2 linked regions of the Cricetulus griseus genome follow. The protein of the gene in region 1 binds, or shares a complex with, the protein of each later gene. Links are inferred from orthologs where the notes say so. Each region holds a gene or a part of one and is shown in the gene's direction. Other genes may lie near its edges.

Region 1 (8,215 bases):
ATGTGTTTATCACCAATCTTACTCAGGGCATCTCTCTGGAGTGGTTCCAGAGCCAACCTATTGATAGGGTGATGTGTTCCAGGGTCTCCTAAGAGTCGGCATCTGTCTAAGAGGGGTCAAAGAGAAAAGGCCCTCATAAGAGTTTACAGAGAGCAGTTGGGGGGGCTTGTGTATACTTCTTACAGTTCGACCCTGAGGGTCACAGGGCAGTGTGGTTCCATCTGGGGGAACCGAGTCTGAGCATTGGCTCTGTTAGCTTCTATGTGACTTTCAGGCCACACACATTTCTGAGCCAGTTTCCTCAACTATAAAATGGAAATTGGAATTGTACATGCCTTTCAGAGTTATCACAAAACAAAAACATTATATAGCACATCACCCAGTGCTGGGAACATGCTATTGAGTCATTTTCCCGTAAGAGTGAACATGGATGGGGCAAAGATGAAGCAGAGTGAGAAGAGGGGCTGGGGTGGTCCTGAGGCACACCAATACTTCAGGGAAGGCTAGAGGGTGAGCCCACTCTGCAGCAGAAGGGTGCTTAGAGAGTGTAGGACCACAGAAGCCAAGAGGAGAACCCACATGGAGGGACAAGCGGCAACTGAGCCCAGTGCACCCAAGAGAGCCAGGGAGGTGAGGACTATGAAGCATCTCTGGTGGCCATGAAGAGTCTAGATGAAGCGAGGCAGATAGAGAAGGCAAAACTCTTCGAGGGAGAAGCAAGGAGTCACCAATGTCATTTCCTTTCTGTTGTCTGCTATAGCTAGCAGAAAGCCACAGACTGGGTAACTAATAAAAATTATAATCTGCCCCCCTCACTGCCCCAGGTTTAGGGCCTCAGAAATCTAAGAATATGATACTCCTTGGCAGAAGATAGAACAGTTTTGGTTTTTGTTTGTTTTGAACCTGGGATAGTTCTCTCCAGGCCTTTTCTAGCTGGTATTAATCCATTTATGGAGGAGGAGCCACCATGATCTCAGCACTTCCCATCAGGCTCTTCCTCTGAAGCACTGTGGATGCATGCTTTTTTCAGGAGACGATGTTCAAACTGTAGTACTGTCAAAATCAATTATCCAGAACACACAGCTCAGCTTCATTTTCACTGTCAACCAATTTCAGGCTGAGAATGCCAGAAATGCTTAAGGGCGGTATGCTCTGAGAGCAGGAAGCAACCCAGGAAGGCAGTGCTACACCTGCCCTCACAGAAGGCAATTAGACTATGTTGACTGACCACAAAGTTCCAGGAATCCATTTGCCTCTACTTCCCCAGCACTGGGGTTCAAGCAGGTTTCACTATCACTCAGTGGTGAGATTCCCATCACCTGACCCCATCACCCAGTAGTGAGATTCCCATCAGCTGACCCCATCACCCAGTGGTGAGATTCCCATCACCTGACCCCATCACCCAGTGATAAGAAGCCAGGCATAGTAGAGCATGCTTGAACCCCAGTGCAGAGGAGGTGAAGGCTAGTGGATTCTTGAGGTTTTAAGGTCAGCAGGCATAGCCCAGTTAGTGAGTTCCAGGCCAAATGAAAGATCTGTATAAAACAAAAACACACAAAAAATGAGTGGCCAGTGAGATGGTTCAGATGTAAGTAAAGTCACTTGTAGTTAAACCAGATGACCTGAATTCCTCTCAGGAACCCACAGGGGAGAGAGACAACAGCAAGATGAGCAAGATGCCATCTGGGGCTAGAGAGATGGCTTAGAGTATAAGAGCACCGGCTGTTCTTCCAGAGGTCCTGGGTTCTATCTCCAGCACCCACATGGCAGCTCACAACTGCCCCAGTTCTAGGGGACGCGCGAGCGCGTGCACACACACACACACACACACACCTCTGACCTCTACACACGCATCCCTCACCCCACTTGCCTTCCACCCAAATATGTTTAAAAAAGTTAGAAACAGTCTGGCGGTGGTGGCGCATGCCTTTAGTCCCAGCACTTGGAAGGCAGAGGCAGCTGGATCTCAGTGAGTTCGAGGCTAGCCTGGTCTACAAAGCAATTTCCAGGATAGCGAGGACTGTTACACGGAGAAACTCTGTCTCAAAATACAAAAAGTTTAAAACGTCCTCTCTATATATTTAAAAATGAAAATGATAGCTCTGAAGAGCAATGTCTGGGGTTCATCTCTGCCCCCTTGCCTTCAATACGCACAGTTCTCAGTCAACCTAAGGCCCCTTCTCCTGTGATTCTCTGGGGATGTTTTGTTTTTTGCTTTGTTTCTAGACAGGGTTTCTCTGTGTAGCCCTGACTGTCCTGGAACTTGCTTTCTAGACCAGGCTGTCCTGGAACTCAGAGAGCCACCTGTGACTGGCTAGAGTGCTTGTTTTAATTTTTTTTTTTTTTCCTAGCTTGGTCTTAAGGCCCAACCCAGGATCCCTTAGCATGGAATTGCAGGCCTGGGAGGGGCTTAGTGACCAGTCAGTCCATTGCCATAGAAGTCCAAGAAGATACTGAAATCAGATTTTGGTCACTCCACACACAGGAAGTGTGTGTGCCCTTGCTTTGCATTTTTGCTGCTTCTTCCACTGAGGGGTCCACCTCAGGCCCTCGCTCACACCAGGCAAACATGGTACCTCTGTGTTGTAACCCCAAACTTCCTTTCAAATCTTTGAAACAGACAGGGTAAGTCGACCAGGTTGGTCGCCAACTTTTTTTTAACCGGGGTCGCGGCATGCACTTGGGCTTTGAAAAATGGGGGCCTGCTGTGATTTTCGTGGAGTCGGTTGTATGAAATAGGTTAGTGCCAGTTAAGGCCCAGCAGTGGGCCAGCTCCTCGTAGGCCTGTCGTGACCGTTAAACTCTGCCAAGCTACCTGCCAGCCCTGTGAAAGCCAGAGCTGGCCGAAGGTCACTTCTCAGGGTGCGGTATGGTGGGTTCCAGTGTCTCTGAGGAGCTGTCCCTAAGGGAAGGAGCCACCACCAGAGCTGACCCAAGCGCTGGGTGTGGCCTCAGGGAGCAGAGACGTCCCTCGGTGGGGGGCGGCGGCTTCTCCACACAGGGTTATTTGCTGGGAGGGCCCTTCTCAAACCTGAGCTCTAACATGGGTTTTGTGACGCTTTCCTGGCCTGGGCGGCGACAACGCCAGCCTGAGGAGCCACCATCGCCGCGCCCTGGCCGCTCCCTACCCTCCAACACTGCGGCGGTAAAATGCAGCACTCCTAGGGCGCCTGCGCCGCTCTCCAGCGCTGGGCCTAGCCGCAGCTATTTATAGTAGATGACGTCACCTTAAAAAAGACCGTTAGGGCTGGGCCGCCCCGCTCCCCCTCCCGCGGCTCGCCGCTCCGAGTGCGCAGGCGTGGTCGCGTCCTCCCTCCCGCCGCCCGCGGCGCCCCCCTGTCCTCTCTCCGCGGCTCCGCGGCCCTCGCCACTGCGCGTGCAGCCAGCCAGCGAGAGGGCGCGAGCCGCGGCGCAGCCTGCAGCCTCCCGCCAGCCGGCGAGCCAGTGCGCGTGCGCGGCGGCGGCCTCGGCGGAGACCGGGAAGCGGACGGGCAGGCGGGCGAGCGAGCGAGCAAGCAGGCGGTGCGGGCGCGCGAGGCGAGGCCGAGTCGCGAGAGACATGGGGGACCGAGAGCAGCTGCTGCAGCGGGCGCGACTGGCGGAGCAGGCGGAGCGCTACGACGACATGGCCTCCGCCATGAAGGCGGTGAGCGCACCGGGAGCCGGGCGGCCGGGGGCTGTGGGGCGGGTCGGGCCTGGGCGGCGGCTCCCTCCCAGCGCACAGCCACCTTTTGGGCGCGGCGGCCGCCGAGCTCTCCATTTCCTGAGGCCCTGCCGCGGCGGGGTCTCCCCTCGGAGGTTGGCGGGCAGGGGTCGCCGCAGCCTCGCTCGGAGCCCTGGTGGGGGAGGGGGTACACGAGGAAATCGCGTTCCTGCTTCTAGACCCTTCTTCCGACCTGAGGCGAAACGTGCTTCCCTTCCACCATTCACCCACTTGTAATAAAGAATCCTCAGCCACTGGAGACCCGTCTCCTGGTTTTCTCCGCCACGACCTGTTTGCTTTGCTTGCCTGAAGTTGGTTCTTTCCCATTTTCCACACCTCGGGTCTGGCTTTGTGTGCGAAGACCTCATTCCAGAAGTCATAGGCGTGAGGAGGGCGTGGGTCCCTACATAATATCCCAACATTCAGTGCAGCGTGTCTGCCTGCGGAGGAAATGAAAATGAAGCAAACCTGGGTGCCTTTGCATTCCTGAGACCCTCATAGATGGATTCTGCAACTTGATTTCCGGTAAAGGAGACATGCCCAGCCACACCCTAGCAAGTATCGTAGATTAGAGCCTACCTGCCTATTCGAGGGTTTGAATTCTGGTTACCACCCCACTATAGACGACTCTTCACATGGTCCTGGGTTTTCTCTTGTCAAGAATATTTCTTGTCAAGGTCACAGTGATAGAGGTGCAACCGTGGCTACTAAGTGTCTTGGTGTAAACCTCCTAAGCTTGGGGAGAATTTCCTTGGACTCCACCATAGACAAGCATTTTGGGAGTGAGACTCAGAAATCTGCCTTTTAAGCAGCCCTTAGGGCAGTTTTTAGCTGACTTAAATGAGTAAGTATTAACTGCCCTAGATTGTAGCTCATATGTCCTATAGCTGGCCTTTGAAATGATTCTTAAATAAAAAATTATAAACCTAGAGACTCCTGTTAATATAATTTGGAAACTTTATTTTGATACTACATGAGATATAAAATTGAGGTGAACATTTAGGATTTCCCAGGTAAGAACAGATAATCAAGTTACTATCTTCTCTAGTGCCCTGTTACACATTCAGCAAAATGTCTCTGGAAACCCTGTTTGTTGATTCATTGGTGAGACTGACTTCACTATTATGCTATGCTGTGCTGATTATATACAAGCTTTTCATTTATACCAGGGGATGTTCTGGGTTTGGGGTCTGGACTTTGAAGAAATTGTGAATTCTTCCTTTAAGAAAACAAAGTTAAAATATGGTTTTGCAAATTTTTGGAAACAAGACTGTAATCACTAATGTACATCTTGAAAGCCACCACTGTTCACACACCAAGTCACCAAATAGCTCTGGGATTCTGCAAGTTGAGGCCTCTCCCTGGACCCTGAGTGAGGCCTGTGCTCATGGTGTGAGTGGTACTTGAAGGCTGCAGTTTTGGGAGATAAAAATGTTGAAGAGAAAGATGGATGGGGCTTATATGAAGATGAATTAAAACTAAGGAAAAACGGCTGTCATGTATGTGGAGCTGCCAATTTCCTGAGGTGGGAAATTAGGAAAGACTAGAGAGATGTTACCAGAACAAAATATAGTTTCATCAGGGAAAAAAAGGCCCTCTGGTCTCTCTAAATGGGCTTGAAAATGAAGTTGCCTATTTTATTCACAGATGTTCCCTGGGGCATTAAGATAACATTTTACAAGCTAATGAACCTTTGAGTGTGTTAGAAATTCATGATTCATGGTTTGGAAAAGACACCAGGAACAGAGAATTTAATATTTGCACCATCAAATTTGTGATAAAACATTCCCTCAAGTTAACTACTAAAAAAATAAGGGGAGTTGTTTCCTACCAGAATTAATGTTTGCCACCTATATTAGTGGGATATATTTTTAGGTAGGTGTAGAAAAAAATCTTATTTTGCCTGTTGGTGTAATTTTTAGATGAAATTCTTAATAAATGCTAATAGGCCATCTATTCAAAAGCTTTTGGGAAGAATGAACTCTAGTATACTCACATTGGGTTTTTTCCTTTTTTTCTTTTAGATAGGTTTTCAGGTATCCCAGGCTGTCCTCAAATACATTAAATAGCTGAGGCTGGCCTTGAACTCCAGGTGATTTTGCCTTTACCCATCAAATCCTGGGATCACTGGTGTGCACCGTCCTGCCTGGCTTCCCCCTGGGTTTATGTGGGCTTTTTTTCAGGCAGTTTAAAGGCAGGTAAGTACACTGTTTAGAGAGAGTGGAACAGGCTTGACAGAATGGGGGAGTAGGGTGTCACTACTCTGACCTTGAAACTTACATCTCCTGGCTGCAGGATCTCTGAAGTATAAAATTAGGAAAATTGAAAAAAAATTAGGAATATTGGTATTAGTAACAAGTCAGTTTTTTTCTTTAATCTTCAAGATGGTTTTTATTAATTTAAGTGGTTTAGTCATAGTGCCTATAATGATGTTTCTTTTTTTTTTTTTTTGGTTTTTCGAGACAGGGTTTCTCTGTGGCTTTGGAGGCTGTCCTGGAACTAGCTCTTGTAGACCAGGCTGGTCTCGAACTCACAGAGATCCGCCTGCCTCTGCCTCCCGAGTGCTGGGATTAAAGGCATGCGCCACCACCGCCCGGCATAATGATGTTTCTTAATCTAGCAGCGTCACCTGGAGGACAGTAGTGGTAAACTTTAAGAATGACTGAAGGTGGAGCTTGGGTGGTACAGCCATTGCCTAGCATTTTGAGGGTCCCTGTTTTGATTCCTCAGCCCACCCCCCACCCCATTAGGAATAGTGGTATTGCTTCAAATCGGTTGAAGACCATAACTTCTCCCCCTACTCATGAAGAGTCATCACATGTTACAGAAGCTTAATTAAATAACTCTTCAAGCCCTTCCTGATGTTGCCTAGTCACTTCCATGGAGTATGAAGTAAGTTTATTAAATGAGAATAAAATGCTCCTGTAGAAGGACTGAGTTGTCAGGAGATAAGGGAACTATAGGCTTCTGTATTGATGGGTAGATAATTCAGTCATATCTTCTTCTTCCCCTGAGTCATTTAGAGGTGGTAACTGAAATTACAAAATGCAAATATACAGTGCTGTACAAAGTTATTAGGGTCTTACTGACTTCAAACCCTACGCCTCGTGAGTGCTTGGATTACAGGCATGTGCCACCACACCCAGCTGCTACAGTCTTACAGTGTTGGTAGAATATAGAGCAAAATGTTGGATTTGATGAATATCTAAGTGCAAGAAACAAAACTGCATTCAAAGCAACATGAGTTGGGCAGGAAGAGGCAAAAGGCCCTTACACTTGCTGGCTATGAGAGTGTGAGAAATGGGAGAAGCAGCAGGTGGTGTGTAAAAGGAGAATCCCACTGAATGACTGGAGGAGACATTGGACTTTTAAGATCCATCAAAAATTGTGTCAATATGGAAATTTTTTTGAGATAGGTTCTCATTGTGTGTGTCATCACCAACACACATACGTGAATCTGGCTTGGAACTCCCTACATGGACCAGGTTGGCCTCTGCCCCCTGAGTGCTGGGATTGATCCACCACGAATGTGAAAGCCACTTTAGTGCTGTTTGGAATAAATGAAAACTAGGAGAGTCCCATTTTCCACTGGCTGGGCATTGAAATGTGATTCTCTCTTTACCAATATCCAAACTGAGGAAGGAAGAAGACATTTAATATTTATGTAATAGATTCAGTTGGAGGCTACTGCTCTAGGGTTGGGGTTGGGTGGGAGAGCACTTAGCATACTTAGGGCTTTGGCTTTGTCCCTTGTACGGGAAAGAAGTATTTCAGGTAACAGATATATAGTCTTCCTTCCCTGAAAGCAGGATTTCTGATTTCTGTCTGCATCTGGGTTCCTGAATTGTCTTCTGAAAAGCTTTCAGTAGTATGGGAGCCATACTGCTCACTTGGGAAAAGAAAAAGTGCTTTATTATTATTATTATTATTATTATTATTATTATTATTATTAGGAGTTAACTATAGAGGTTACACTTTTTTTTTTTTTTAGAAATATAGTGTAGGCTAAGTTTGATAGCTTATGCCTGTAATCCCAGAACTTGGGAAGTTAAGGTTGGAGGATTATTGTGAGTTTAAGACTAGCCTTCGTTAAAATAAAAAATTAAAAATTCATAGGAAAATTCTAAGACAAACAAAGACCAGTCTGAGTTATGCAGTAAGATCCTGTCTGAAAAAAACCAAAAGTTTTGAAGGGTTACCTCATTGTTTTCCATATTACATTCAGCAAGTTTGAGGAATTTTACTTACTAGGTACTCACTAGATAGTAGCTTTTAGTCCATGTACCAATTGTTTTTATTTATACTAATTGCCTGGTACTAGGAATCAAAAACCCCAGGGTCTTGTATGTGCTAAGCATATATTCTACCACTGGTTGACTCCTTCAGCTTTCATACAATGTTAAAACAGGAGTTTACAAGTATTGTTTGTAATAGTACCATTTTACAGATGGGATTTGCATTGGTTAATAGTGTCTTGGTTAGTAGGTTGTGAAGCTAGAATTTGAATTCTCT
Region 2 (7,519 bases), on another chromosome or scaffold:
TCCAGCAAACTGCCTTGTTCCCAACTGCCTACATAGTAGGATTTTGAGAATACTGCAAAAACTTCACTGTTACCAGAGAACTGTTCTCACTGTGAATGACATCAGCAGTTATTATTACCAGCTCTTAACTTTTTTATTCTATAGTAGGCACATGGTTTAAAATACAGTAGCCCTCACAAAAAAATAATCTTACAAAATGATAAACTTGGAGCTGAGAGGGTCATAGGTATGGTGGCTTTTAGGATGGGAAAGTTGACAACTATGCCTGCAGGTCTGACATACGCATCTATAAATGTACATCTGGCCAAAGAAGAGGACCCCAAAAAGCAGCTAGTAAGACCAGAACAGCTCCCCATATATACTGCACCTCCTCTCTATTCTAAATATGTTGAACAGCCTGGTTATTTACAGATGAGCTTTGCATCCATCCATACTACAACTGTTTGTTATACTGGCTGGTGCAATGGTGTTTATATCTTTATGCAGATGGGATAATGGATACAGTACAGTTTGCATATGTCTATCTGAAGAATCCTCCTCAAGATTTTCTACCTAAGGCCGGGCGGTGGTGGCGCACGCCTTTAATCCCAGCACTCGGGAGGCAGAGGCAGGCGGATCTCTGTGAGTTCGAGGCCAGCCTGGTCTCCAGAGTGAGTGCCAGGATAGGCTCCAAAGCCACAGAGAAACCCTGTCTTAAGATTTTCTACCTAAAATGGGAGTGATTACAGCTTCAGGACTGGTGGGTTTGCTTTCAGCAAGAAAAGGTACTAGGTTTAAGAAGATTGCTTATCCACTAGGATTGGCTTCATTAGGAGCAACTATTTGTTACCTCCCTCAGTCGGTAATAATTGCAAAGATAACTGGGAAAAAGGCATATACTACAAGCCAGCAAATTTATCAAGCCATTAAGTCATTGTGGACAAAAAGCAGTGAAAAAGAATCACTCCCTGGCCGGGCATTGGTGGCACACACCTTTAATCCCAGCACTCGGGAGGCAGAGGCAGGCAGATCTCTGTGAGTTCGAGGCCAGTCTGGTCTACAGGAGCTAGTTCCAGGACAGCCTCCAAAGCCACAGAGAAGCCCTGTCTCGAAAAACCCAAAAAAAAAAAAAATAAAAAATAAAAAAAATCACTCCCGGAACCAAAGGAAGAGCCTAAGGTAGGAAGGTCTGATGAAATATATGCCAAAACGCCTGACTTGAAACATTCAGTACCTTTTCCAGAAGCACTTGCCTCTGCAACAAAGATGAAATCGAAATCCACTGCAGGCCCTACACAGTTTATACCTGACCCCAAGCTCATGGGATCCCGGGCAGTCTCATCCAGAAGATAAAGATATGTACAGCACTAGAAGCTGAAGTAGATGGCAGTGGGAGCCTGCATAGAGAATCGTAAGATGTCCCAAGTGACAAAGAATGGTGACAAATCATGTAACGGATGGGTAACTGACAGAGCATGGCTAGAAATTTTTCCATGATGTTTTCAAATAAACAGTTTGACCAGTGATACAAGTGATTTAAACACAAATTAATGACAACACAAGTAATGTTAAGAGATTGATGAAGGGGCTGGAGACATGGCTCAGGGGTTAAGAGCACTGGCTGCTCTTCCAGAGGTTCTGAGTTCAATTCCCAGCAACCACATGGTGGCTCACAACCATCTGTAATGTGATCTGGTGTCCTCTTCTGGCACGCACTATATACATGATAAATAAATAAATCTTTAAAAAAAGAGAGAGAGAGAGATTGATGAAGCAACTGAAGTAGAAGTACTAGGAGTGCATTCCATGACTTGTAAGAGAATTTATTAGAGAGCAAATAGAATGGAGATATAAATGTCTCTGAGACTAAAATCTAACCATATGCATATGTAAACATACATATACATATTTAAACATATGAATCTGCTTCCGTTTTCCCAGTTATTGCCAGTTAACTTAGAATGCTGGATAGAAGGATGTGTTTCCCAGAGTTGGAATGAAATATCCATATTTTATGGCACATAAAAAATAATAATAAACTTGACTCTGGGTAATTAAATGTATCTATAAAATAATGATTGGTTTACCTAACTCCGTTCTCTTGCCACACATAAGCAAATCAGTTCCATTTCTAAGTAAGGCATAGATGCAACTGTGTTTGCACTTTTGCCTTTGTGTGGTTGGGACGTGCAGTTGTGAATGACAGAGCTAAAATATAGGGAAGGCATGAAGGAGACAAAGCAAAGTCTTTACTTGAGTCCCTTTTAATAGGGAGTTGTTTTTAAGTTTGTAAATACCCCCCCCCCCCCGGAAATGTTGGCAGTGCAGTCAGGCTCCTGAAATTCTTGCCTCTCCAGTGCTTCTTAGACATGTCTGCCAAATATTCTTGCAATTCCCCTTTTACAAAGCAACTAGTGGGCTGGAGAAATGGTTCAGTAGTGAAAAGCACTACTCTTGCAGAGAGCCCCCAAGTTCTGTCCCCAGCACCACTTTAAGCAGCTCACAACCTTCTCAAACTTCAGCTCCAGGGGGAATCCATCACCTCTGGTCTCTGAGGGTACCTGTATTCTCTCTCTCTCTCTCTCTCTGTATTCTCTCTCTCTCTCTCTCTCTCTCTCTGTATATCTCTCTCTCTCTCTCTCTCTCTCTCTCACACACACACACACACACACACACACACACACTTAAAAATTAAAGGAAAACTGGAAGCTTGAATACAAAGACAGTTCATTTTGCGTGTTAATTTTAAACTGGAATTTACAATAGCTGTATGTGTTTGTAGTTGTTGGTGCTGTGACTTTCATAGAGCTTTCAAAACCTGCTCTCTGCAGGGGGAAAGACTGAGCCATGCTGTGGGCTGTGCTTTTGCAGCCTGTTTAGAGCGGAAACAGAAACGGGAGAAGGAGTGTGGAGTCACTGCTACTTTTGATGCCAGTAGAACCACTTTTACAAGAGAAGGATCATTCCGAGTCACAACTGCCACTGAACAAGCAGAAAGAGAGGAGATCATGAAACAGTTGCAAGATGCCAAGAAAGGTACAGTGTGTTCTTCTGTGGTGTGTTTGTTTAATTTAGATTTTCCAAACAGGTTTGTATTTGAAGCTATCAGAGACAAGTTTCCTACAGACAAAAAGAACTCTTGGGATTTCGGATGTAGCCCATTGATAGAGCATTGCTAATATGGGTTCTATTTTATCACTCCTTATCCCCCATCCACATCATACATTCAAAGAGAGATCTCTCAGCAATGTGTGACGACTTTAAAGACAAAACTGAAAATCTTACAAAAGTTCTTTCTTTAGAGTGGCTTAAAAAACATATTCTTATAGTAAGCTCCTTGGGGGAAGGTGAAAAGCAGTTGAAGAAGCTGCAGAGAACACATTTAATTCTTATGTGTCTGTCTCTATGAGACACAAGTACCATCAAAGACACACCATCTTGGAGGATGAAGCACAAGCCCCAGGATTTAGAGACACAAACACTGGCTATGATACTGGCAGAGAGTAAATGTTGATACTGTGCTGATTAGATATTGGTATAATCCTGAGTGCTTACATGTTGGTGTTTTTACTTTTGTATGGATGCTTGTCTGTGTGAGAGAGTATGCAGAAACCCAGGGCCAACATTGAGTCTTTTTCAGTAGAACAAATAACTTTCTTTTTTTATATTTATTATGTATACAGTGTTCTGCCTGCATGTATGCCTGCAGGCCAGAGAGGGCATCAGATCTCATAGATGGTTGAGCTACCATGTGGTTGCTGGGAATTGAACTCAGGACCTCTGGAAGAGCAGTCAGTGCTCTTAACCTCTGAGCCATCTCTCCAGCCCCTGTTCAGTCTTTTTTTAAAAAATCATTTTTAAGATTTTTTAACTTGTTTTATGTGTGTAGGTATTTTGTTTGCTTATATATCTGCTCACCAGATTGTTGTGGAGCCATCATATAGGTGCTGGGAATTGAACCTGGGCCCTTTGGGAAGAACAACCAATGCTCTTAACCACTGAGCATGTCTCCAGTCCTGTCTGTTCAGTCTTAGTAGAGGATAAGACAAGCAGGTGTTGCTAACTCTTCATGTGTCAGAGTGCAGAGGGCCTGAACCATTTTCTAGCCTGTCTTATGTAAGACATGGGATGTGGGTTCGGTAGAGAACAAGAGGACTGCTCGCACTCTCTCTCTCTCTCTCTCTCTCTCTCTCTCTCTCTCTCTCTCTCTCTCTGCCATTTCTCTGAGGAGGCAGGTCTCTCTCTTTTCTGTTTCTCTCTTCTCTCTACCCTCTCTTCCCTTCCCTTCCCTTCCCTTCCCTTCCCTTCCCTTCCCTTCCCTTCCCTCCCTTCCCTTCCCTTCCCCTTCCCTTCCCTTCCCTTCCCTTCCCCTTCCTCCCTCCCTCCCTTCCCTCCCCTACCCTTCCCTTCCCTTCCCTTCCCTTCCCTACCCTTCCCTTCCCCCAGTGAAACTTCCTTCCCATGTGAACAGAAAAGAACAAGAGGGCTTCTGTGCTCTCAGCTCTGTCAACTCAGGGTATTTGAAGGTCACTGCTGAGGTCTAAGGTCTTTTTCTTTGTTTTTTTTTTTTGTTGTTGTTGTTGGTTTGTTTGTTTTTTGTTTTGTTTTGTTGAGCAGAGCAAGATAAGGCAGTTGTTGGTCCGTCAGTGGCTCCTGGCAACACTGCTCCATCCCCATCCTCCCCCACCTCTCCAACTTCGGATACCACTGCTTCTCTGGAGATGAACAACCCTCATGCCATACCACGCCGGCATGCACCAATTGAACAACTTGCTCGCCAAGGCTCCTTCCGGGGATTTCCTGCTCTTAGCCAGAAGATGTCACCCTTTAAACGCCAACTATCCCTACGCATCAATGAGTTGCCTTCCACTATGCAGAGGAAGACTGATTTCCCAATAAAAAACGCAGGTAATATGCTCTAGCTCTGATGTGCCGTCACCTCTCCTGTCTCTCTGAAGCTGTTAGCTATACTGTGTGTCATTTCAGATGAAAGCAAACTAGGGCCCATAAGTAGTTGACAGAGCCACAGGTCTGTGTTTGTCCTGGTGTAGATGTGTTCTCTCAGCCTGCCTGTTTCCAAACATCAAGGGTTCCAAATTCCCATTCTTCATGTGCTGCATAGGACCGGGGAGAATTAAAGAGGCTTTAGAAGCATTTACAGGTTAATAGTAAGTACCACTGTCAAACGAACAGAAGAAATGGATAAGTGTTCCTTATGTTTGGCTTCATAGAGAACACATTCTAAATGGCTCTTTTATACAAATCTAAGGTCTGTTGTTGAGCAGAAGCATGAGATTGCTCACATTGATTCCTCACCTGTGTGTCCTCTGTTCAGCTAGAGCCAGCCTGTGAGCTCTATCCTTATCATGTGATCTGGAACTAAAGTGTTAGATGTGGCTGGTGCTTTTATGGACCCTATAGTGCTTCCCTCTGAGACACACTGTCTCTATAACTGAACATGAGAAAGCTCTGGCTCAGTAGGCACTTCTACAGACAACATATAAAGTACAGGGAGGTAAGAACTGTGGACAAATAAAACTAGGCTTAAAGAACAGTTGGAGGTAGGTGATCACAGGAAGTCTTTTCGGCAACCCCCAAACTGCAGATGCTTGAGGTACCTCTGTGCAGTGTCCCTCTGGGGCAGATGATCATAGATAGAAGTCTCTTTTTCACAGAGAGCAAAGGTTCAGTACACATCATTTATTTGCTCAGTAATAAGGAAGTGTTTTCAGTGTCTTTTTTTTCCCACACAGGATCTCAAACTTGCTTGGACCCAAACTCTGGATGAAAGCAATCTTCCTGCTTGGCTTTCCAGAGTTAGTATTAAGGAGTCTTTAGCGTCCTACATTTCAGTTCACTTTTCTTGGATACCACAGTTCATGTACTAGAAGTTTTAAAGAAAATGAAAGTGTTGACATGTCATATTTGGATTCAGGAGAAAGCTTTTGTATCTAGCCTTAAACACACACACACCCCTATTTTTTTTTTTTTTTTTTTTTTTGATAAAATTGCTTGATGGCTCTAGAACCTGATTAGGTCATAAGTTCTAGGACCCAGTCAACTTTTTTTTTCAAAGATTTATTTATTTATTATGTATAGTATACAGTGTTATGGCATGTATGCCTGCATGCCAGAAGAGAGCACCAAACCTCATTATAGATGGTTGTAAGCCACCATGTGGTTGCTGGGAATTGAACTCAGGACCTCTGGAAGAGTAGCCAGTGCTCTTAACCTCTGAGCCATGTCTCCAGCGCCCCAGTCAACTCTTACAGATTGCAGAGATCTTCCCAAAAGATCCAGCTATTATAAACAACCTCACATTAAAAAAAAAAATAACAACAACAATAAACAAGTACCAAATTCCCAACAATGTCATAAAAAGAACTAAAGACATTTAGGGATTTGCAGAGAAAGATGCTCTATCTTAGTGCATAGTTTACTGATGTTTTCTGCTTTCCTGTCTGAAAATTGAAGTGTTCATCAATTAATTTACTGAAGCTGATTGTGTATCCTGACAGTTAAAACTTGTCCTTCTGCAAGGGAGAGAGTGAAAAATGGCTGTTTACACCATGCTGTCATATTTCAGGTTTTTTCTATTTCCTGTCTAGAACCATTGTGTTTGTCTTGCAGTGCCAGAGGTAGAAGGAGAGGCAGAGAGCATCAGCTCCCTGTGTTCACAGATCACCAGTGCCTTTAGCACACCCTCCGAGGACCCCTTTTCCTCTGCCCCAATGACCAAACCAGTTACATTGGTGGCACCACAGTCTCCTGTATTACAAGGTTGGTGACCTCTGACCTCAGTTGTTCTCTTTGAAACTAACCCTGTTGGCATGCTGCTTGTGAACTAGAAGTTGGCATCTGAGCTTGCCATTATCCTCATCTCCCTGCCCAGCCACCTCTTCGGGCTTTGTTCCTCTCCTAAGTTGCCCGCTTTCATCATTTGGCACATGTACGTCTGTCTTTCATCTTCTAGTAAGAGTTTCAGTAACCCCAGTCCACCACTTTGTTTGCCTTTTGACTTCAACGGTCAGAGCAGCCAGCCAGCTTTACAAAATCTGTTATCAGGATTGGTTCAGGCTCTGTGCCTTCTAGCATAGTGATTCCCCACCAGGGATAATTTTGCCTCCTCAGGGAAAATTTGACATTCATTGTATGGAGACATTTTGGGATTACAGCATCAGAATTACAGCATCAGAAATGCTGGCAAACACCCTTCAATGTACAGGGCAGCTCCTACAGCAAAGAATTACCCATTCCAAAATGTGAGTGGTGTTAAAGTTAAGGACACCTGGACTTCCTCCTGTCTGAGAGACTCAAAGTAGAAGCCTTTTTCTGCCTCACTGGTTCATTTTATGGTCTATAACAAATACTGTAAAATTGGCCTTTGTGACAATAGTTACTTCAGTGTTAGAGGGCCCCACCCCCTGCTAAATTAAGTCCTCACTCATAGATCAACAAATAATTTATGTAATTTAAATCAGTGACTTCTAAAGTAAAGCTCCAATGACCTGCCCATTGCCATTTCCTTTGAGATTGCAGA

What was found. The genes of interacting proteins can lie anywhere in the genome.
Region 2: the proteins of Ywhah (region 1) and Numb are in contact, whole or in part, in a crystal structure (PDB 5YQG), measured with the Mus musculus proteins. The link is inferred for Cricetulus griseus from reciprocal best matches to the Homo sapiens genes YWHAH and NUMB. Residues at the interface, in NP_035868.1 of Mus musculus: Arg57, Arg132, Tyr133, Leu177, Asn178, Val181, Glu185, Ile222, Leu225, Asn229; in NP_001129547.1 of Mus musculus: Gln274, Gly275, Ser276, Phe277.

The regions. Positions count from the first base shown.
Region 1 is NW_023276807.1:102,059,474-102,067,688, forward strand, and holds the start of Ywhah (14-3-3 protein eta), read left to right. Parts: upstream 1-3,356; 5' UTR 3,357-3,559; coding exon 3,560-3,646; intron 3,647-8,215. UniProt on the Homo sapiens protein: Adapter protein implicated in the regulation of a large spectrum of both general and specialized signaling pathways. Binds to a large number of partners, usually by recognition of a phosphoserine or phosphothreonine motif.
Region 2 is NC_048598.1:119,944,655-119,952,173, forward strand, and holds part of Numb (protein numb homolog), read left to right. Parts: intron 1-2,810; coding exon 2,811-3,015; intron 3,016-4,596; coding exon 4,597-4,887; intron 4,888-6,609; coding exon 6,610-6,759; intron 6,760-7,519. UniProt on the Homo sapiens protein: Regulates clathrin-mediated receptor endocytosis. Plays a role in the process of neurogenesis.